Linked DNA regions of Struthio camelus. The protein of the gene in region 1 purifies or fractionates together with the protein of each later gene. This does not show direct contact. Links are inferred from orthologs where the notes say so. Each region holds a gene or a part of one and is shown on either strand. Other genes may lie near its edges.

Region 1 (10,005 bases):
GGTGTCCGGGCTCCCCCCCCCGCCCCCAAGCAGGGGGCCCAGGTGTCCAGGACCCCCAAATTTTGCCCCCCCCCCAGACTCCCTCCTCTCCCGTTTTCAGGCAGGGGACCCAGGCATCCGGGATCCTCAAACTTTGCCCCCCCCCAGACTCCCTCCTCTCCCATCTTTGGGCCAGGGGACCCAGGCGTCCGGGCTCCCCCCCCACCCCCCAACCCCTCCTCCCCCCAGCAGGGGGCCCAGGCGTCCGGGCGCTACCTGGTCCAGGTACTTGGCCTGGATCTTGTGCCGGGCCTCGCACATCTTGCAGGGCCGCTGGGGGTCAGGGAAGACGAGCTGGTTCACCACGATGTTGTGCGTGTCGATGCGGCACTTGGCCAGCTCCTGGATGAGCCGCTCCGTCTCGTAGAGCGACAGGAACTCGGCGATGCACACGCAGATGAACGTCGTCTGCTCCTGCCGGCCCGCCGGCGACGCTCAGCCCCCGCGGGGCCCAGGCGTCCGGCCGGCCCCGCCGCCGCGGTGCGTTCCCCGCAGCAACGCGCTTGCATCGGTGGGGCCGGCTCGGCTGCCGCCTCCCCGGTGTCCCCCCGGCCCCCGCGCCGCGGGAGCGTCGTGTCCCCCGGCACCTCCCCGGCGTCCCCTGGCCCCGGGGGACAGCAGCATCGTGTCCCCTGGCACCTCCCCAGTGTCCCCCGGTGTCTGCCAGCCCCATGGATGGGAGTGTCGTGTCCCCTGGCACCTCCCCAGTGTCCCCCCAGCCCCCGCGCCGCGGGAGCGTCGTGTCCCCCGGCACCTCCCCGGTGTCCCCTGGCGCCGTAGGACAGCAGCATCGTGTCCCCCAGCACCTCCCTGGTGTCCCCCAGCCCCGCGGTGCGGGGGCGTCATGTCCCCTGCCACCTCCCCAGTGTCCCCCGGCACCTCCCCGGCGTCCCCTGGCCCCGGGGGACAGCAGCATCGTGTCCCCCGGCACCTCCCCGGTGTCCCCTGGCCCCGTGGGACAGCAGCATCGTGTCCCCTGGCACCTCCCCAGTGTCCCCCGGTGTCTGCCAGCCCCACGGATGGGAGCGTCGTGTCCCCTGGCACCTCCCCGGTGTCCCCCAGTGTCTGCCAGCCCCACGGATGGGAGCGTCGTGTCCCCTGGCACCTCCCCGGTGTCCCCTGGCGCCGTAGGACAGCAGCATCGTGTCCCCCAGCACCTCCCCGGTGTCCCCCAGCCCCGCGGTGCGGGGGCGTCATGTCCCCTGCCACCTCCCCAGTGTCCCCTGGCACCTCCCCAGTGTCCCCCGGCCCCATGGGACAGAAGCATCGTGTCCCCCGGCACCTCCCCGGCGTCCCCCGGCCCCATGGGACAGAAGCATTGTGTCCCCCGGCACCTCCCCGGCGTCCCCCGGCCCCGGGGGACAGAAGCATCGTGTCCCCCGGCACCTCCTCAGTGTCCCCTGGCACCTCTCCCCCCGCCGGATGGGAGTGCCACGTTCCCTGGCGCCTCCCCGGTGTCCCCCAGCCCCGTGGGCTGGCCGTGCTGTGTCCCCCGCCCCAGCGGAGGCGTCCCCCGTGCCCGCGCCGGCGGGCCCTTACCGGGTCCTTGAACTGCTCGCTGACGGAGCGGATGACGGGCAGCGTCTCCTCCAGCTTGGAGGCCAGCTGGTCGGCGTTCATGTCGCCCAGCCCCAGCATGTTGCACATCTGCGGGAGAGGCCACCCCGAGGTCCCCGCGGTGCCACCCGCGAGGTCCCCCCTGCGCGCGGCAGGTCTAAGCCCGCTCGTGCCGCCTGCAAGCGCCCTCACGCCGCCCACGAGGTCCCTCGGGTGCCGCGTGTGCGAATCCCCTCCCGCCACGCGGGGGGGGGGGGGTCTCCCCGAGGCCACCCCCAAGGGTCCTCGCGGTGCCACCCGCAAGGCCCCCCTGGTGCCACCACCGAGGCCCCTCGGGTGCCGCGCGTGAGAGCCCCCTCGTGCCACGCGTGGGGTCTCCCTGGTGCCACACACCGACGTCCCCCGCGTGCCACCCGAGGGCCCTCCCCGGCGCCACCCGTGCGAGCCCCGCTCCCCGGCGCCGCCCCGCAGCCGCCCCTCCTCATCCTCACTTGGGAGATGAAGGGGCTGATCTGGTTCTTGATCTGCATGAGGCGGCCCAGGCCCCGCTCCACGATGGTGGGGAAGTTGAGGAGCCGCAGCGTGTGGCCGGTGGGCGCCGTGTCGAACACCACCACCGAGAAGTTCATGCCCTTCACCAACCTGCGAGGACGCCGGGCCTCAGCGGGGACGGCGGGTCCCCGGCGCCCCGTTCCCCATGGCAGGGGGCCGTCCCCGGGCCCTATCGGCCCTGCACCGCCCCGGCCCCCCGCTCACCTCATCACCTCGGCGTAGCTCATGGCCTCGTCGATGCCGGGGAAGGCGCTCATGGCCTCCTGCATCATCTTCTTGCCCATGCTCAGCATGTTGTCCTCCTCAAAGAACTCGTCGGGCAGCTCGGCCACCCCCAGGCTGGGGTCGATCTCCTGCCGGGGGCCGGGGTGGGGGAGAAAGGTTGGGTGAGGGGCTGGAGGGTGGTGGGGGGGGCACGGGGGGGAAGGCTGGACGCCGGGGCCCGCCGGGGGACTCACCATGGCGAAGAGGTTGTCGTAGCCCTTGACTTTGGTGGGGACCTTGGAGAACTTCTGGTCGAAGGCGTCGGAGATGTTGTGCGCGGGGTCGGTGGAGATGATGAGGACGCTTTCGCGCACCTTGGAGAGCTGCACGGCCAGGCTGCAGCTGGGGGGGGGGGCAGGTGGGGAGGAGGGGGGCCGCGGTGTCACCGGGGTGGGCTGTTGCCACCGGGACCCCCTCCAGGCACCCGGTCCTGCCCCATAGGGTGGCCCTATGATGCCACTGTCCCCCCTCAGCAATAGGGGGGCTCCTTCTCCCCCCCAAGGGTGACCAGCCTGCCCCCCACACCCCAAAGTGGTCCAGCCCAGCCCCCCCCTTCACTCCCAATGGTGCAGCCTGGTCTGGTGTTGTCCCCCCCCAAGTGGTGGTCCAGTCCATTCCCCCCCAAAGTGGTCTGGTCCACGTCCCCCCACTCTGAGGTGGTCTGATCCAGTCCCCCCCCCCGAGGTGGTCCAGTCTGGATCCCCCCTAACCCCCTCCAAAGTGGTCTAGTCCAAATCCCCCCCCCAGAAGTGGCCTGATCCAGTCCCCCCCCCCCGAGGTGGTCCAGTCCGGGTCCCCCTACCCCCCCCGAAGTGGTCTTGGCCAGGTCCCCCTCTTCCAATCCCCAGTGGTGCGGCCTGGTCCAGTCCCCCCCACTCGAGCTGGTCCGGTCCGGTTCCCCCCCACCACCCCGAGCTGGTCCGGTCCGGTCCCCCCTCCCAAATGGTCCGGTCCGGGTCCCCCCTCCCAAATGGTCCGGTCCGGTTCCCCCCCCATCCCGAGCTGGTCTGGTCCGGTCCCCCCTCCCAAATGGTCCGGTCCGGTCCCCCCTCCCAAATGGTCCGGTCCGGTTCCCCCCCACCACCCCGAGCTGGTCCGGTCCGGTTCCCCCCTCCCAAATGGTCCGGTCCGGTTCCCCCCCCCACCACCCGAGTTGGTCCAGCCCGGCCCGGTGTTCCCCCCCCCCGGCCCCACCTGCAGGTGGTCTTGCCCACGCCGCCCTTCCCCCCCACGAAGATCCACTTGAGGCTCCGCTGCTCGATGATGTTGGCCAACGTCGGCTCCAGCGGCTCCACGTCGGGGGCGTCCTCGAACTCGTCCGCTTCGGGCCCCCACCCGGACCCCGCCGCCGCCATCTTCGAACCGCACCGCCTGCCCCGGCGCCGGGCCGCACCATTCGCCTCCGCCGCAGGGGGGGGGGAGAAAGGAAAAGAAGGGAGTTATGGCACCGGCCGCCGCCGCGGGGCCGCCGGCAGGAGGGAGCCGCTCCGGCGGGAAGCCACGATCACGGCCGCCGCCGCCCGGCCGCACCGGAGAGGCCTTTCCCCGTTATGGCGGCCCCGCTCTTCACTCCTCCCCCGCGGCCCGCACGGCGGTGGTACAGCCCGGCCCCGCCCCCCTCCGCTGCTGATTGGCCAGCTCGCACGCCCGCCGGGCGGGATTGGCTGGAGCAAGTCCTACCTCTTCCCCGGGGCGGCTCCTCGAGCCCGCCCACCCCCTCTTGCTCCGCCTCCGCCGGCAGCCGATTGGCCGCAGCTGCCGCGCCTCCTCGCTGATTGGCCCCGAGCCTGACAGTCCGGCGCGAGCAGCCGCGGGGAGGGGGGGGGGCTCTCACGGCCCGCCCGTTGCCTGGCAACAGCGCCCTCGCGCCTGCCCCGTCAGCTCGGCGCGGCTCCCGTCGTGCCTAGCGGCGGGCGTTTCCCGCCGTCCTCCGCGTCACCCTCCCCCCGCGGCCCCTATAGGAGGGCGGCGGCGGAGCTTCCCGTCGTGCCCCGCGCGCGCGTCATCGCCGGGCGCGGGGCGTTTCCCGTGGTGCCCCGCGGCGCGGCGTTCGCGGCGGACAAGATGGCCGACCACGGCGAGGACGGGGAGGCCCCGTCGCCGCCGCCCGGCCCCGGCGGCGGCGTGAACGTCTTCGCCAACGACGGGAGCTTCCTGGAGCTCTTCAAGCGCAAGATGGAGGAGGAGCAGCAGCGCGAACGCGAGGCGGCGGCGGCGGCGGCCGCCGAGGCCCCCGGAGGTGCCGGTACCGGGCCCGGTCCGCACCGCTCGGCCGACGGCCAGAAGAGGAGCGGCGGCGGCGGCGCGCTCAGCTTCGTAAGGACCCCCGGGGGGGGCCGCCGCCGCCCCGCGCCCCGCTCCCCCCGCTGCGGGGGCCGCTCCCCGCTCTGCCCGGGCCCCTCGCACCCGCCGTCCCACCGGGCCCGGTTCCTCCCCGGTTCTCCGGGGTGGTTTCAGCCTGCAGAAGGGCAGCTCCCCACGCTCTTCCCCCACCCCCCCTTTCCTCACCGGCCCCGGTGATGCCGTTGCTTCTCCCCCCTGCTCACGCCCGGGGTCGCTCTGGGTGGGGGGCGCTTTTTCCCCTTAACGGCAGCCACCCTCTGGGCTCAGGTAGGCGGAAGAGCTTCACCGGACGATTCCGCTCCCCCGACGTGAGTATCGGCCCCGGTTTCACCGGCAGAGCGTGCCGGGAGCCGGGCTCAGGTCCGCTGAGGCCGTTGCTCGCCGGCCCTTTGGGGAGCCGCGTTGTTGTGTGCGGTCCCGGGGCGCCCCGGAGCCTGCGGCCAGCGGTCGGGGTGCCAGGAGACCCCCGTGAGCCGAACCGAGCGGGTTCGCGTCTCCGAGCGTGCCTGGATTGGGCTGCGCCGGGAAGGGGCGCGTCCCTATGGGCTGAATTTTAGGGTTTGGCTGCTTCAGGCTTTGACAAACGGTCCCCTCCCTCCCTGACCTGCTGCTTGGCGGCTTCCAATCCCCTGGGAGCAGCACCAGCGGAGGCCGAACAGAGGCGAGCCGCCGGCTGGCGTAGCCCTCCGCTGCCCGGGGCGCCTCGGCCGCGGTCACTCGCCGCAGCGCCTGCGTTCGCCTCCTTGTTAAACCGCGTCCAAAGCGCCTCGATGCCGTAGTAAAGTCCCCTGCTGTCGAGGAATCGCAGCAGCTCCGACGCGCTGATCCGCTCCCGCTCCTTCCCAGCGCTGTCGCGGCGTAGAAAGCCGGCCGCTACCCTCGGGGCGCCGGCCGTCGCGGCGAGCCAGGTCCGCCGCCGAAACCGCTAAACTGGCCGTTTAGCGACGAGCGGGTTCCCCGCGGGGGCCGCGGCGGGAGGAGCCGGCCCGCGGCGCTGCGACGGACCATCTAACGGAAGGCCTCCCTGTTCCGTTGTATAGTGGGCAGCGTTGTCCCCGCAGCGCCCGCGGCTCGGGTAACGGTTGCAGTCTTCTGTCCCTTCACCCAGGTGGGCAGGCGGAGAGGTGGGAACAAGCTAGCCCTGAAGACGGGAGTGGTAGCCAAGAAGCAAAAGACCGAAGAGGAGGTAGGTAGCCCTGGGACGGGACGGGGGGGGCATGGGGGCTCCCTGCCTCCTCCCTGGGGGCGGTTTTGGGTCCGCAGCTGCTTTTCTGCCCCCTCGCTCTTTCGGTGAGCGGCTAGGCCTAGCGGGAAAACGGGGGCGAGGGGCGCTGCCGGCCCCTCGCTGCCTCCTGCGGTGCTGCCCGTCGCTGTGGGCAGAGCCGGTTTGCAGCTTGCGGCCATCGCGAGCGCCCCGGGGGAGCCCGTTTGTCCGAATTTGGGGGTTTCCTTCACTGCCAGGATCCTGCAAGCACGAATCCCCTCGGGGGAGCGGGGCGTTGCCTGCCACAACCCCTCTTCCAGACTCGCCTCTTATCACCGGTGTTGTTTGTTCTTCCTTTGTTATTTTTTCCCTCCCCTCCCTCCTCTGCAGGTTTTGACAAGTAAAGGAGACGCCTGGGCCAAGTACATGGCAGAAGTGAAAAAATACAAAGCCCATCAGTGCAGCGACGACGACAAAACCAGGCCCCTGGTGAAATAGCCTCTCTCCCGGTGCCCGCACGGACTGTTTCCCTGTTGTACATACTTATTTAAACAGCGGAGGAGGCTAGCGGCTCGCACAGACATCCACCAAGTGCTCCCAGCGGCTTGTTCGAGGTGTTTTTATATGTAAAAAAAATATATATATATCTCTCTCTCTCTTTCTCTCTGTCACACGCGCACCTGGGCACGCGGGGACATCGCCAAGTCTCTTATTCACTGACTTAACCCTTCTTTCGTTCTGCTGGGAAATAAGGACTCTGGACTGGCCGTAGCTCTTTGTAGCGGGAACGCGCCTGTGGGGGCCGCGCGCCCGCCCGCCGGCCGGAGCCACCCCCGTCGCCCCGCTCGCTTCCGCGTCGGTAACTCCGAGATTCCCGTGGCTTTGCCTCGCCGCTTGTCTTCCCGCCGCGTGCCCAGATTTCCCGCCCGGTTTGGTCTCTTCCCGTTCCGCCTCCGTTTCCGCGAGTAGAAACCGTAGCTGGCGGGACAGAAACGCTCCCGCCTGGCTGTCGCGAAGGGTAAAAACTCGTCGGCGAGGGCGCCGCTGTTGCATTGAGTCATTAAAGACCTCGGATATTTCGAAGCCGCTAACCGCTTCCTGGGTGTTCTTGGCGCGGGGGCTGCGTCCCGGTGGAGCTTTTGCCCTCCCCGCTGCCTTTGTTGCCCGGCCTCACCGCTGTACTCCGAGGGATTTCTTTTTTCCCTCCCATGTAGGTTCCTCCGTGGGGTAACAGCGACATTACAGCGAGCTCCGGCTGTTTATTTTTTCCCCTTCCCCCAGGGGCTCAGGCTCTCCCGAAGTCACTCGGTGCTTTCGGATAACCGGAGGCTTCGGCAATATCCACTCGCGAAGGCGGCGGGGGGGGCTGCCCGCCCTCGGCATCGCTCACCGGGCAGGAGGGAACAAGAAGAGCTTTAAATCCGCCCTGTGCCGAGGTTTCTACCTCCGTCCGGGTGCCCTTGTCCTGTTTTTTTCTCCCCCAGGCGGCTCCGGGAGGGTGCGGATGAGAGCTGTTGCCGCTGCCTGCGCCTCCGCGTCCCTTCCGGTCGGCAGGGAGAGCTGCCGGAGGAGGTGGAACAGGTCGCCCGGAGCCCGGACTGACCCTGCTTCCCCGATCCTGCAGCCCCTTTTATTCTGAAAATCCTTCACAAATGTTTAAACGTTCTGGCTCTTTTCCTTTTTGAATAAAAATTCTCTTGCGAACAGAGGTGTCTTGCTGTGTCTGTTCACCCTCCCCAGCTGCTCTTGCACCTTCCTCCCGGGGAAGGATTTCACGCCAGGCCGCGGCTCTTCCTTTTGTTGTTGTTGTTTTTTTTTTTAATTTTCCTTTGGAGCCGCAGGGGGAGCAGGATGCGCTGTACCCCCCCCCCAGCCCTGCTTCCCCCCACCCTGCCGCACCCGGACACGCGGAGCTAGGCCATACGGTTTATTCGTTCCATCCAAACGGGCCGCGCGCCCCCCTCCCGCTGCCCGCCCAGCGCCGGGGCGGGACGGCATCGCGGCGGGCCGAGCACTTCCGCGCCTCGAAGCCGGCGAGGCGCCGGCGGCCCCCGCCCCGGGCCAGCGAGCCGGGCAGGAGGGAGAGACCCGAAACGGGGAGGGAGGGGGATGCGGAGGCGGTAGGAGCCCCCCTGGGCCGGCCACCAGCTCTCAGGAACGTCCTGGAGAGTCCGATGAGGCGCTCGGGGCCGGAAAATGGAGCCCGGTCCCGCTTCCGACCCTGTCGGTGGGTGTGTTGAAACCCGCCGCTGAACCGGGCTCGGCTCCGTTCCTATAAAACACCCGGGGAAGGGAATGTCTCGGGCGGGAACGTTAAAACGAAGCCGTAGCTGACGGAGGGGGAGAAGTGGGGCAGCGAGGGCCGCGCGGCCTCCTTTTCCCCAAGCCGAGAGGATCCGGCATCCCCAGGAGCCCGGATAAATCGTTCTCGGTGGGATTGCTCCGAATTACAGGGAATGCCGGGCTCCTCCGCTTTCAATCGCAGCTCTGGCATCAGGCACAGCGGCCACCAGCTCCAGGCACCCATCAAAGCAGCTGCTAAAGGACTATTTAAAGCAAAAAAAAAAAGAGGAGCAACAACTCCTTAAAAACAGGGCAGGGGCTTCTGCTCCTCTCCAAGAAACCAGCCCTCCGGGATCCGGCCTCTCTGCGGGCCGCCTCCGGCTCCGAGGGCTGCTCCGCTCCTCCGGCGGGAGCGAGGGCTGCTCCCAAAGGCCGAGACGGGGCCGGGTGACGCAGGGCATCTTCGGAGCCGCGCCGACTCTTCCCGAAAGGCCCGGAGGAGGCAGCCTTTCACCGGGAAACTCGGAGTCTTTGGTGCATCCTCTTAGCGTGCAAAAAAAGGGGGAGAACCGGAGCCCGAGGAGCCCCCTCCGCGGCCCCGGCCTCGCCGCGGCAGCTCAGTTAGTCTCGTAGGAGGAGAGCAGGGCGGCGTCGACGGGCTCCATGCAGGAGGGGCAGGTGAAGGAGCGCATGAGCCAGTCGTCGATGCAGGCCACGTGGTAGACGTGCAGGCAGGGCAGGAACCGCACCGGGTCTCCGTAGGTGAACTCCAGCATGCAGATCACGCACCTGCGGGGTGGCGGAAAAGGCAGGGAAGTGAAACCTGGCTTTTGGGCGCTGCCGGCAGCTCCCCGAGGCGGCGATCAAGCCTTTCGGGGGGCTGCAGGCTGAGAAATCGGCACTCCGCCGTCCCTCCTGCCCTTAAAATCCCCGGGGAAACGGAAACGGGGATGAGGTGGGCATGGCAAAGGCAGGAACAGCCTCCGGGAGGGGATGGGGGTTCCCCGAGCTCGAACCCCGCCGCCCCAGCCGGCGTTTTGGGGGGACTCACTCCTTCGTTTTCTTCTCGGAGGGCTCGGCGCCGGGGTCGAAGAGGCCGCGGGGCAGGTGCTGGATGAGGCCGATGCGCTGGGCGATGCGGACCTGCTCGTCCTCCGTGAGCTGGGTGGCCAAGCGGCGCTGGCTGGGCGTGGGGTGGTACACGGGCACCGGCTCGCGCTCCTGCGGGGCGACGGCAACCGCCGGCCTTGGGGAGCGCCGACGGACCCCCAAACCTGCCTCCCCCCTGCTCCTGGGGGGGGGGCTTGGGGGGACCCTCAACCCTCGGCAGGGCACCCAATTCCCTCCTACAGTGCCCGCTCCCAGTGCTCCCAGGGCGCCCTGAGCCCCCCAGTTCCCCCTCCCCGTGCTCCTAGTTCCTCCCTGCTCCTCCCTTTTCCCCCTCCAGTGCTCCCAGTCCCCCCCAGGGCACCCTGATCCCCCCAGTTCCTCCTTCCGGGGCTCCCAATTTCTCCCCATTCCCCCAGTTTCACCATCCCAGTGCTCCCAGTCACCCCCAGTGCACCCTGATTTCCCTCCCTAGTGCTCCCAGATCCTCGAGGCAACTCTGACGTCCCCCAGTTTCCCCTTCCCAGTGCTCCCAGTTACCCCCAGTGCTCCCTGATCCCCCAAGTTCCCCCTCCCAGTGCTCCCAGTTACCCCCAGTGCACCCTGATTTCCCTCCCTAGTGTTCCCAGATCCTCGAGGCAACTCCGACGTCCCCC
Region 2 (9,870 bases), on another chromosome or scaffold:
GGAGGACTGGGGGGGCTGGGAGGACTTGAGGGGACACTGGGAGGACTGGGGGGCACTGGGAGCACTGGGGGGCACTGGGAAGACTTGAGGGGACACTAGGAGGACTGGGGGGCACTGGGAAGACTTGAGGGGACACTGGGAGCACTGGGGGGGGCTGGGAGGACTGGGGGGCCACTGGGAGGACTGCGGGGCACTGGGAGCACTGGGGGGGCTGGGAGGACTTGAGGGGACACTAGGAGGACTGGGGGGCACTGGGAGGACTGGGGGGCACTGGGAAGACTTGAGGGGACACTAGGAGGACTGGGGGGCACTGGGAGGACTGGGGGGCACTGGGAAGACTTGAGGGGACACTGGGAGCACTGGGGGGGGCTGGGAGGACTGAGGGGCCACTGGGAGGACTGGGGGGCACTGGGAGCACTGGGGGGGCTGGGAGGACTTGAGGGGCCACTGGGAGGACTGGGGGGCACTGAGAGCACTGGCTGCACTGGGAGCACTGGGGGGGCACTGGGAGCACTGGCTGCACTGGGAACACTGGGGGGGCACTGGGGGGGCACTGGGAGCACTGGGAGACACTGGAAGAACGTGGCCGGGGGGGGCAGCACGCACCGGGAGAAGCGGGCGGACAGCAGCGAGACGCCGAGAGAACTGGTTATACTGGGAACCACCGAACGAGCAGGGGGACGCGGGGGTCAGGGGGCGCTGGGGCAGCGGGGGGGCTCCGGGGGGGGCGGCGGGGGGGGCCCCTCGGGCTGCAGCAGCCGGGCGGCCAGGCGCTCCACGTCGTCCAGGCTCAGCGCCCGCAGGCTCTGCTCGTAGTCCTGGCGGGGAAGGGGGGGGCGGGGGGGGCGGCGGCTGTGACCCCCCCCGGTCCCACACCGGAGCCCCCGGGTGCCCGCATGCTGGGGGTCCGCACCCCCGGGCCCCCCGGCTCGCCTCTGCCCCCCCGCGTCCGTGTCCCCCCCCCACGTCCGTGTCCCCCCTGTGTCCGTGTCCCCCCCCCTGTCCGTGTCCCCCCCGTGTCCCTGTCCCCCCCGTCCGTGTCCCCCCCGGTCCGTGTCCCCCCCGTGTCCCTGTCCCCCCCGGTCCGTGTCCCCCCCGGTCCGTGTCCCCCCCGTGTCCCTGTCCCCCCCGGTCCGTGTCCCCCCCCGTCCGTGTCCCCCCCGTGTCCCTGTCCCCCCCGGTCCGTGTCCCCCCCCGGTCCGTGTCCCCCCCCGTCCGTGTCCCCCCCGTGTCCCTGTCCCCCCCGGTCCGTGTCCCCCCCCGGTCCGTGTCCCCCCCGTGTCCCTGTCCCCCCCGGTCCGTGTCCCCCCCCGTCCGTGTCCCCCCCGTGTCCCTGTCCCCCCCGGTCCGTGTCCCCCCCCGGTCCGTGTCCCCCCCGGTCCGTGTCCCCCCCGTGTCCCTGTCCCCCCCGGTCCGTGTCCCCCCCCGTCCGTGTCCCCCCCGTGTCCCTGTCCCCCCGTGTCCGTGCCCGCCCCGTGCCTCCCCCGTCCGTGTCCCCCCCCCGTCCGTGTCCCCCCCCCGTCCGTGTCCCCCCCCGTGTTCCCCCCACGTCCGTGTCCCCCCCGTGTCCCTGTCCCCCCCCGGTCCGTGTCCCTCCCCGTGTTCCCCCCACGTCCGTGCCCCCCCCCATGTCCCTGTCCCCCCCGGTCCGTGCCCCCCCCCCACCTTGTGCAGCTGCTCCAGGACGCGGGCGGCGTCGGCGGCCCCGAAGTGTCGCCCCAGCACCCGGCCCAGCTGGGCCCAGATGGCGGGGAAGGGGGGCGCCGGGGGGGGCGCCGCGCCCCGGCCCCCCTCCTCGCCCCCCCCGGCCCGCTCCGGCGGCTTCAGCACCAGGTTCAGCCGGGCTTCGGGCCCGATGGCGTAGTCCGACAGGCGCAGCTCGTCTGGGGGGGGACAGGCACAGGCGGCACAGCGCGGTGACACCCCCGGCCCCCCCGGCCCCCCCGGCCCGGCACCCACCGGCCAGGGCCTTGCCGCGGTAGAGCAGGCGCTGCTGGGCCACGGGGACGTCGAGCTGCTCGGCCACCAGGCGCTTCAGGGCGCCCACCCGCTCCTCGGGGGACACCTGGGGGGGGCACCGTGCTGAGCTGCCCCCCCCGCCGCCGCCGCCGCCCCCCAACCTGCCCCGCGCCCAGGCCTGGAGCCCCCTGCCCAACCAGCCCTTTCCCCCTGAGCCCCCCCAGACCTGCCCCCCTCTAGCAAGGGGGGGGATGAACCCCCTAAATCGTCCCCCACCCCTGCAAGGGGGGTCACTGAGCCCCCCCAAGCCAGCCCTCCCGTGCAAGGGGAGCCCCTAGCCCCCCCCAAACCAGCCCCCCCTGCAAGGGGGGTCACTGAGCCCCCCCAAACCAGCCCCCCCTTCCAAGGGGAGCCCCCGAGCCCCCCCCAAACCAGCCCCCCCTGCAAGGGGGGTCACTGAGCCCCCCCAAACCAGCCCCCCCTTGCAAAGGGAGCCCCTGAGCCCCCCCAAACCAGCCCCCCCTTGCAAAGGGAGCCCCTAGCCCCCCCAAACCAGCCCCCCCTGCAAGGGGGGTCACTGAGCCCCCCCAAACCAGCCCCCCCCTTGCAAAGGGAGCCCCTGAGCCCCCCCAAACCAGCCCCCCCTTGCAAAGGGAGCCCCTAGCCCCCCCAAACCAGCCCCCCCCTGCAAAGGGAGCCCCTAGCCCCCCCCAAACCAGCCCCCCCTGCAAGGGGGGTCACTGAGCCCCCCCCAAACCAGCCCCCCCTTGCAAAGGGAGCCCCTAGCCCCCCCAAACCAGCCCCCCCCTTGCAAAGGGAGCCCCCGAGCCCCCTAGCCCCCCCCAAACCAGCCCCCCCTGCAAGGGGGGTCACTGAGCCCCCCCAAAACCAGCCCCCCCTTGCAAAGGGAGCCCCTAGCCCCCCCCAAACCAGCCTCCCCTGCAAGGGGGGGGTCACTGAGCCCCCCCCAAACCAGCCCCCCCTTGCAAAGGGAGCCCCTAGCCCCCCCAAACCAGCCCCCCCTGCAAGGGGGGTCACTGAGCCCCCCCAAGCCAGCCCTCCTGTGCAAGGGGAGCCCCTAGCCCCCCCAAACCAGCCCCCCCTTGCAAAGGGAACCCCTGAGCCCCCGAGCCCCCCCCCAAACCAGCCCCCCCTGCAAGGGGGGTCACTGAGCCCCCCCCAAACCAGCCCCCCCTTGCAAAGGGAGCCCCTAGCCCCCCCAAACCAGCCCCCCCCTTGCAAAGGGAGCCCCCGAGCCCCCCCCCAAACCAGCCCCCCCTTGCAAAGGGAGCCCCTAGCCCCCCCAAACCAGCCCCCCCCTTGCAAAGGGAGCCCCTAGCCCCCCCCAAACCAGCCCCCCCTGCAAGGGGGGTCACTGAGCCCCCCCCAAACCAGCCCCCCCTTGCAAAGGGAGCCCCTAGCCCCCCCCAAACCAGCCTCCCCTGCAAGGGGGGGGTCACTGAGCCCCCCCCAAACCAGCCCCCCCTTGCAAAGGGAGCCCCTAGCCCCCCCAAACCAGCCCCCCCTGCAAGGGGGGTCACTGAGCCCCCCCAAGCCAGCCCTCCTGTGCAAGGGGAGCCCCTAGCCCCCCCCAAACCAGCCCCCCCTGCAAGGGGGGTCACTGAGCCCCCCCAAACCAGCCCCCCCTTGCAAAGGGAGCCCCTAGCCCCCCCAAACCAGCCCCCCCTTGCAAAGGGAACCCCTGAGCCCCCGAGCCCCCCCCCAAACCAGCCCCCCCTGCAAGGGGGGTCACTGAGCCCCCCCAAACCAGCCCCCCCTTGCAAAGGGAGCCCCTAGCCCCCCCCAAACCAGCCCCCCCCAAGGGGAGTCACTGACCCCCCCAAACCACCCCCCCCAGCAATAGGGGAGTCCCTCAACCCCCCCCCAGCAAGGGGGGACCCCCTGAGCCCCCCAAACTAGCCCCCCAGTAAGGGGGGGAGCCCTTACCCAGACCCCCCCCGGCCCCCCCGGCCGAGGCCGCCCCCCCGCCAGCCCCATCGCTCCGCTTTCTCCCCTCTTGTGACCCCCGCCGGGCCCCGTACCCCGCCCCCGCCGCTCCCCATGGCCCGCCCCAGCACCCGTACCTCCCCCCTCCCCCGGCGCCGTCCCCTGCGTGACCCTCCGAGGCCGCCGTCCGTCCCCCCGGTACCTGGAGGCTGCACTCCCGCCCCTGCAGCGCCTTCACCGTGAGCAGCATGGCGGGAGCGGGAGCGCCGCCGCCGCGGGGGCCGCGGGCCCTTTAACGGCCACCAGCGAGCGCCGCGGCTAGAGCGCCTCGCCGCGCGGCCACCGTAGCGCCGCCCCCTAACGGCCCCGCCTGGAGGACCGGCTGGCCAGAGCGGCCCACTCGCTCCCTTCCCCGCCCCCTCCCGCCCATCGAGGCGGGGCCAGAGCGGCGCCGGGCGGAGGGGGAGGCGGGGCCTGTGACGTCGCCAGCGGTCGGCGCGATGGCGGCGGAGGCGCGAGACGGGCTGGAGTTGTATCCTGGCCCGGGGCGGGGGGCGCTGGGGGTCCGGGGGGCACCGGGGGGGCTGGGAGCCGAGGAGGGGGCGCTGAAGGGGCTCTGAGGGGTTATGGGGGGGCTGGGAGGGAGCTGGGGGGCTGGAGAGAAAATGGAGGAGCCCTGGGGGCGCTGGGGGGGGATTGGGTGTCCCAGAGAGGGATCAGGGTGGCTAGAGGGGGAGTTGTGGGGCTGGGAGGGGCCTGGGGGGCTTAAAGAGGGACAGGGGCAGCAGTGGGGTGGGCAGAGGGGGCAGTGGAGGGCTGGGGGGGTCAGGGGGCTTTGGAGGGGCTCTGAGGGGTTATGGGGGTCCGGGGGGGGCTGGGAGGGAATTGGGGGGCTGGAGAAGCAGAGGGGGCACTGGGGGAGGGACTGGGGGGGCAGAGGGAGGCATTGGGGTGCCTAGAGGGGGAACTGGGGGGGCCAAAGGAGGGAACTGGGAGGTACTGGGGGGGGCCTAGAGGGGGGCACTGGGGAGCAGGCTGGGCGGCCTTGGAAGGGAACTGAGGGGTCACGGGGGGGGAGTTGGGGGCCCAGGGGAGGTTTAGGGTGCCTGGGGGGGGAATTGGGAGCCCAGGGAGGGAACTGGGAGATACTGGGGGGCCTCTGGGGATCAGAGAGCTTAAGGGCGTATGGGGAGGGGCTGAGAGGGGGTTTGGGGGGTCTGAAGGGAGAATTGGGGGGGGCAGCGAGGAGAGCGATGGGGTTTGGGGGGGGGCTGTAGGGAGGGAAGTGGGGGGAATCGTGGGCCGGGGAGGGAGGTTTAGCGGTGGAATTGGGGGGGGCCCCGGGGGGGGCGCGGGGCGCTTCCTTAGCGGCCAGCCGGCTGAGCGTGCCCTTCCCGTCGGCGCTGGAGGCGCAGATCGCCCACGGCTCCCTGGCCCCCGACGCCCAGCCCCGCCGGGGGGGCGTCCGCCGGGACCTGGCCCTGGACGGCCCCCACCTGCAGGCGTGAGCGGGGGGCGCCGGGGGCGATTTGGGGCACGGCGGGGTGGGGGGCAGGAATGGGAAAAGAGTGGGGGGTCCATGGGGGCAGTTTGGGGGCAGGAGGGGGCGCTGGGGGCAGGAGGGGGTGCAGGGGGCAGGATGGGGGAGTCATGGGGCAGTTTGGGGGCAGCAGGGGGGTCATTGGGCCAGTTTGGGGAGGGGGTGGAAGGTGAGGAGGGGGTGCAGGGGGCAGGATGGGGGGTCATGGGGCAGTTTGGGGGCAGGAGGGGTGCAGGGGGCAGGATGGGGGGTGCAGGGGACAGTTTGGGGGCAGGAGGGGGCGCTGGGGGCAGGATGGGGGGTCATGGGGCAGGATGGGGGGGTCATGGGGGCAGTTTGGGGGCAGGAGGGGGCAGTGGGGGCAGGATGGGGGGTCATGGGGGCAGTTTGGGGGCAGGAGGGGGCAGTGGGGGCAGGATGGGGGGTCATGGGGGCAGTTTGGGGGCAGGAGGAGGTGCAGGGGGCAGGATGGGGGGGTCATGGGGCAGGATGGGGGTCGTGGGGCAGGAGGGGGCGCTGGGGGGGTTCGGGGCAGGTTGGGGCTGTGGGGGGCCGCGGCAGCTCCCCCCCCCCCCGCAGGCGGTGGTGGGCCCCGGAGGCGCGGAGCCTGCGCGTGGCCGTCGGCTCCTTCCTGGAGCACCTGGAGCTGGTGGTGGAGACCATGGAGCGCTTCGGGCCCCCCCGGCCCCGCTAGCCGGCACCCCCAACGGGGACCCCCCCGGACTGGGGACCCCCCCGGACTGAGACCCCCCCGGACTGAGACCCCCCCCAACGGGGACCCCCCCGGACTGGGGACCCCCCCGGACTGAGACCCCCCCCAACGGGGACCCCCCCGGACTGGGGACCCCCCCCCCAAAATGGGACACCCCCCCCCAGGCTGGGGCTCGGCGGGGAGGACCCTGAGCGATTGGGGGTTTCCCCCCAAACTGGGGCCCCCCCAGTGAGACCCCCCCGGACCTGCCCCCCCCCCACCCCAAGCTGCCGGGGGGGGGGGGTCGTGCCGCGAAATAAAGCCCGCGGGAGGCTGCTGTGTTTTTGGGGGAGGGGAGCACTTTAATGCGCGACACCAAGTTAACGAACATGGGGGGGGGGGCACAGACACAATAAATAAGGCACCGCGCCCGGGGGGGGGGGGGCGGGCGGGGCCGGGGGGGGTCCCGGCCCCCGGGGGGGGTCAGGCCGGGGGCCCGAGCAGGGCCAGGACCTGCTCCAGGCGCTGCCGCAGCCGCTGCTGCCGGCACCCGGCGTCGCGCTCCAGCGCCGCCAGCACCTGCGGGGGGGGGGGGGGTCACACCACTGCGGGGGGGGGGGTGACCCGCTACTGGAGTGTACCATTACGGGGGGGGGAAGTAGTTGCTACCAGACCATCCCATTATCTGTGGGGGGGGGACACTAGAACATACTAGTTTGGGGGGGGGGAGGTGCTCCCGGACCATACCACTATCGGGGTGTTTTTCAGCTGGGGGGGGTGAGGGCCCTCGACCATTCCGTTGTTGGAGGATAATCTGCTACTGGACCATGCCATTATCAGTGAGGGGGTGGACTGGAACATACCATTATTTTGGGGTGGGGGGGGGCTGCTATTGGGCCATGCCATTATCAGCTGGGGGGGGCCTGAACGTACTATTTGGGGGGGGGGGGCTGTTATTGGGCGGTGCCACTATCAGCTGGGGGGGGCTGGAGTGTACCAGTGAAAGGACAGGGAGCTAGTGGAGCATACCATTATCAGCTGGGGAGGTGTGCAGACTGGACTCTACTATTTTGGAGGAATGGGCCCATTGGGCCATACCATTACTATGGAGCAGGGGAATCATCGATCGGGTCCCACCATTACTGTTTTGCCCACTGGACTATACCATTAATTGGGGGGGGAACTTTCCCTTGACTCCCTCATCTCTTTGATTGGGGGGGGGGTCTACTGGGCAGTACCATTCTGCAAAACCTTGGGGGGGGGAAAAAAACCCCACTGGACCATACCATGATAGGGGAACTTAATGGATTGTACCATTGTACCATTAAAGGGGGTTCCTACTGGATTCTATCATTATTTGTAATGGGGGGGGTCCATTGGTGCATACCATTATTATTTGGGGAGGGGGCACTACTCGACTGCTGTTATCATGGCTATTATCATGGGGGGGGGAACCAATGGACCGAACTATTATTGGGGGGTAACCTCCCAATGGATCATACCATTATTGGGGGGAATCTACTGGATTGTACCAATATTTGTAATGGGGGGGGGTCCCACTGGCCTGTACCATTTCAGGGGGGGAATGAATGGTAAGCCTCAGTTACTGCAGCTCTGGTGGGGGGGGACTGGGCTGTACTGGGGGTTACTGGGAGGACCCACCTCATCGCGGTAGCGCCCCACGTACTGGTAGAGCCCCCCCAGAGCCCCCAGCGTGTCGAACTCGCCAGCGTGGAGCCGCGACTGCTCGGCCAGGAAGGCGTCCATCTCCCCCTCGCTGATGGGCGCCAGCCGCCCCACGGCCCGGTAGTACCTGGGGGCGCCCCACAGCTCCTGGGGGGCAGCCGGGACCCCCCCCCCAAACCCTTCCAAGCCTGCCAACTCCTGGAGGGCTGTGGGCACCCCAAATCCCCCCCCCCCAACCACCCGTGGGTGAGGAGGGACTCAGGAGGGCCAGCAGTGCCATGTGCCCCCCAGCAATGTCCCTGATGTCCCCCCGTCCCATGTCCCCACCTCTTGATCCAGGCATGGTGGGTGCACAGGTCCCATGCCCCCCTCCATGTCCCCAGTGCCCCCCCCCCCCCGGATGTGACAGGCAGGCAGCCCTGTGCTCCCCTGTCCTCCCAATGTCCCCACGTCCCCACCTCTCGACCCAGGCGCACTAGGCGGGCAGGCCCAGGTCCCCGCGGTGTCCCCAATGTGTCCCCATGTCCCCACCTCTCGACCCAGGCGCACTAGGCGGGCAGGCCCAGGTCCCCGCAGTGTCCCCGCAGTGTCCCCACGTCCCCACCTCTCGACCCAGGCGCACTAGGCGGGCAGGCCCAGGTCCCCGCAGTGTCCCCAGTGTGTCCCCACGTCCCCACCTCTCGACCCAGGCGCACTAGGCGGGCAGGCCCAGGTCCCCGCGGTGTCCCCAATGTGTCCCCACGTCCCCACCTCTCGACCCAGGCGCGGTAGGCGGGCAGGCCCAGGTCCCCGCAGTGTCCCCAGTGTGTCCCCACGTCCCCACCTCTCGACCCAGGCGCACTAGGCGGGCAGGCCCAGGTCCCCGCAGTGTCCCCAGTGTGTCCCCATGTCCCCACCTCTCGACCCAGGCGCACTAGGCGGGCAGGCCCAGGTCCCCGCAGTGTCCCCAGTGTGTCCCCACGTCCCCACCTCTCGACCCAGGCGCACTAGGCGGGCAGGCCCAGGCCCCCGCAGTGTCCCCAGTGTGTCCCCACGTCCCCACCTCTCGACCCAGGCGCACTAGGCGGGCAGGCCCAGGTCCCCGCAGTGTCCCCAATGTGTCCCCACGTCCCCACCTCTCGACCCAGGCGCACTAGGCGGGCAGGCCCAGGCCCCCGCGGTGTCCCCAGTGTGTCCCCATGTCCCCACCTCTCGACCCAGGCGCACTAGGCGGGCAGGCCCAGGTCCCCGCAGTGTCCCCAATGTGTCCCCACGTCCCCACCTCTCGACCCAGGCGCACTAGGCGGGCAGGCCCAGGCCCCCGCGGTGTCCCCAGTGTGTCCCCATGTCCCCACCTCTCGACCCAGGCGCACTAGGCGGGCAGGCCCAGGTCCCCGCAGTGTCCCCAATGTGTCCCCACGTCCCCACCTCTCGACCCAGGCGCACTAGGCGGGCAGGCCCAGGCCCCCGCGGTGTCCCCAGTGTGTCCCCATGTCCCCACCTCTCGACCCAGGCGCACTAGGCGGGCAGGCCCAGGTCCCCGCAGTGTCCCCGCAGTGTCCCCACGTCCCCACCTCTCGACCCAGGCGCGGGCAGCAGGCAGGCCCAGGTCCCCGCAGTGTCCCCGCAGTGTCCCCACGTCCCCACCTCTCGACCCAGGCGCGGTAGGCGGGCAGGTCCTTGGCGTAGAGCAGCTTGGTGGAGGGCGAGTCCTTGCCCAGGCGCTGGGGCGAGGTGGAGCAGGCGTCCATGAAGGTCTGGGCCACCACGGAGAGGCAGGCGTCGGCGATGCTCGACTTGTGCACGTCGAAGACGAACTGCGGGTTCTTGATGACGTTCACCCAGAAGCGCAGCGGCAGGCTGGGACGGGGACAGCGTCAGGGGCGGGGGGCCGGGCCGGGGGGGGGTCAGGGACGAGGACGGGGCTCCGGGGCCCCCCCTAAACGCACCAGTTGCTCTTCCAGGCGTGGGGCACGTCGGGGTCGGCGCCGTGCAGCCGGGCGGCCTGGGCGTCCAGGAAGTCGAACATGTACTTGATGGGCAGCGGCAGGGCCGGGGCGCCGGGGGC

The links.
Region 2: the proteins of GET3 (region 1) and UBL4A purify together in Homo sapiens (affinity purification with mass spectrometry; 4 studies listed by BioGRID and IntAct, with this or other methods). This does not show direct contact. The link is inferred for Struthio camelus from reciprocal best matches to the Homo sapiens genes GET3 and UBL4A.

What each region holds. Positions count from the first base shown.
Region 1 is NC_090972.1:4,313,704-4,323,708, forward strand, and holds the start of GET3 (ATPase GET3), read right to left. Parts: upstream 4,035-10,005; 5' UTR 3,768-4,034; coding exon 3,607-3,767; intron 2,755-3,606; coding exon 2,607-2,754; intron 2,502-2,606; coding exon 2,353-2,501; intron 2,239-2,352; coding exon 2,088-2,238; intron 1,687-2,087; coding exon 1,579-1,686; intron 454-1,578; coding exon 256-453; intron 1-255. Other genes in the region: TRIR (telomerase RNA component interacting RNase), read left to right, coding at 4,477-4,728, 5,864-5,941, 6,350-6,457; RING finger protein 11, read right to left, coding at 8,860-9,031, 9,294-9,463.
Region 2 is NC_090979.1:61,682-71,551, forward strand, and holds the start of UBL4A (ubiquitin-like protein 4A), read right to left. Parts: upstream 4,282-9,870; 5' UTR 4,157-4,281; coding exon 4,109-4,156; intron 2,066-4,108; coding exon 1,960-2,065; intron 1,884-1,959; coding exon 1,666-1,883; intron 819-1,665; coding exon 690-818; 3' UTR 607-689; intron 1-606. Other genes in the region: EKC/KEOPS complex subunit LAGE3, read left to right, coding at 4,407-4,438, 5,282-5,410, 6,026-6,140; PLXNA3 (plexin-A3), read right to left, coding at 6,621-6,716, 7,800-7,950, 9,450-9,662, 9,752-9,870. UniProt on the Homo sapiens protein: As part of a cytosolic protein quality control complex, the BAG6/BAT3 complex, maintains misfolded and hydrophobic patches-containing proteins in a soluble state and participates in their proper delivery to the endoplasmic reticulum or alternatively can promote their sorting to the proteasome where they undergo degradation.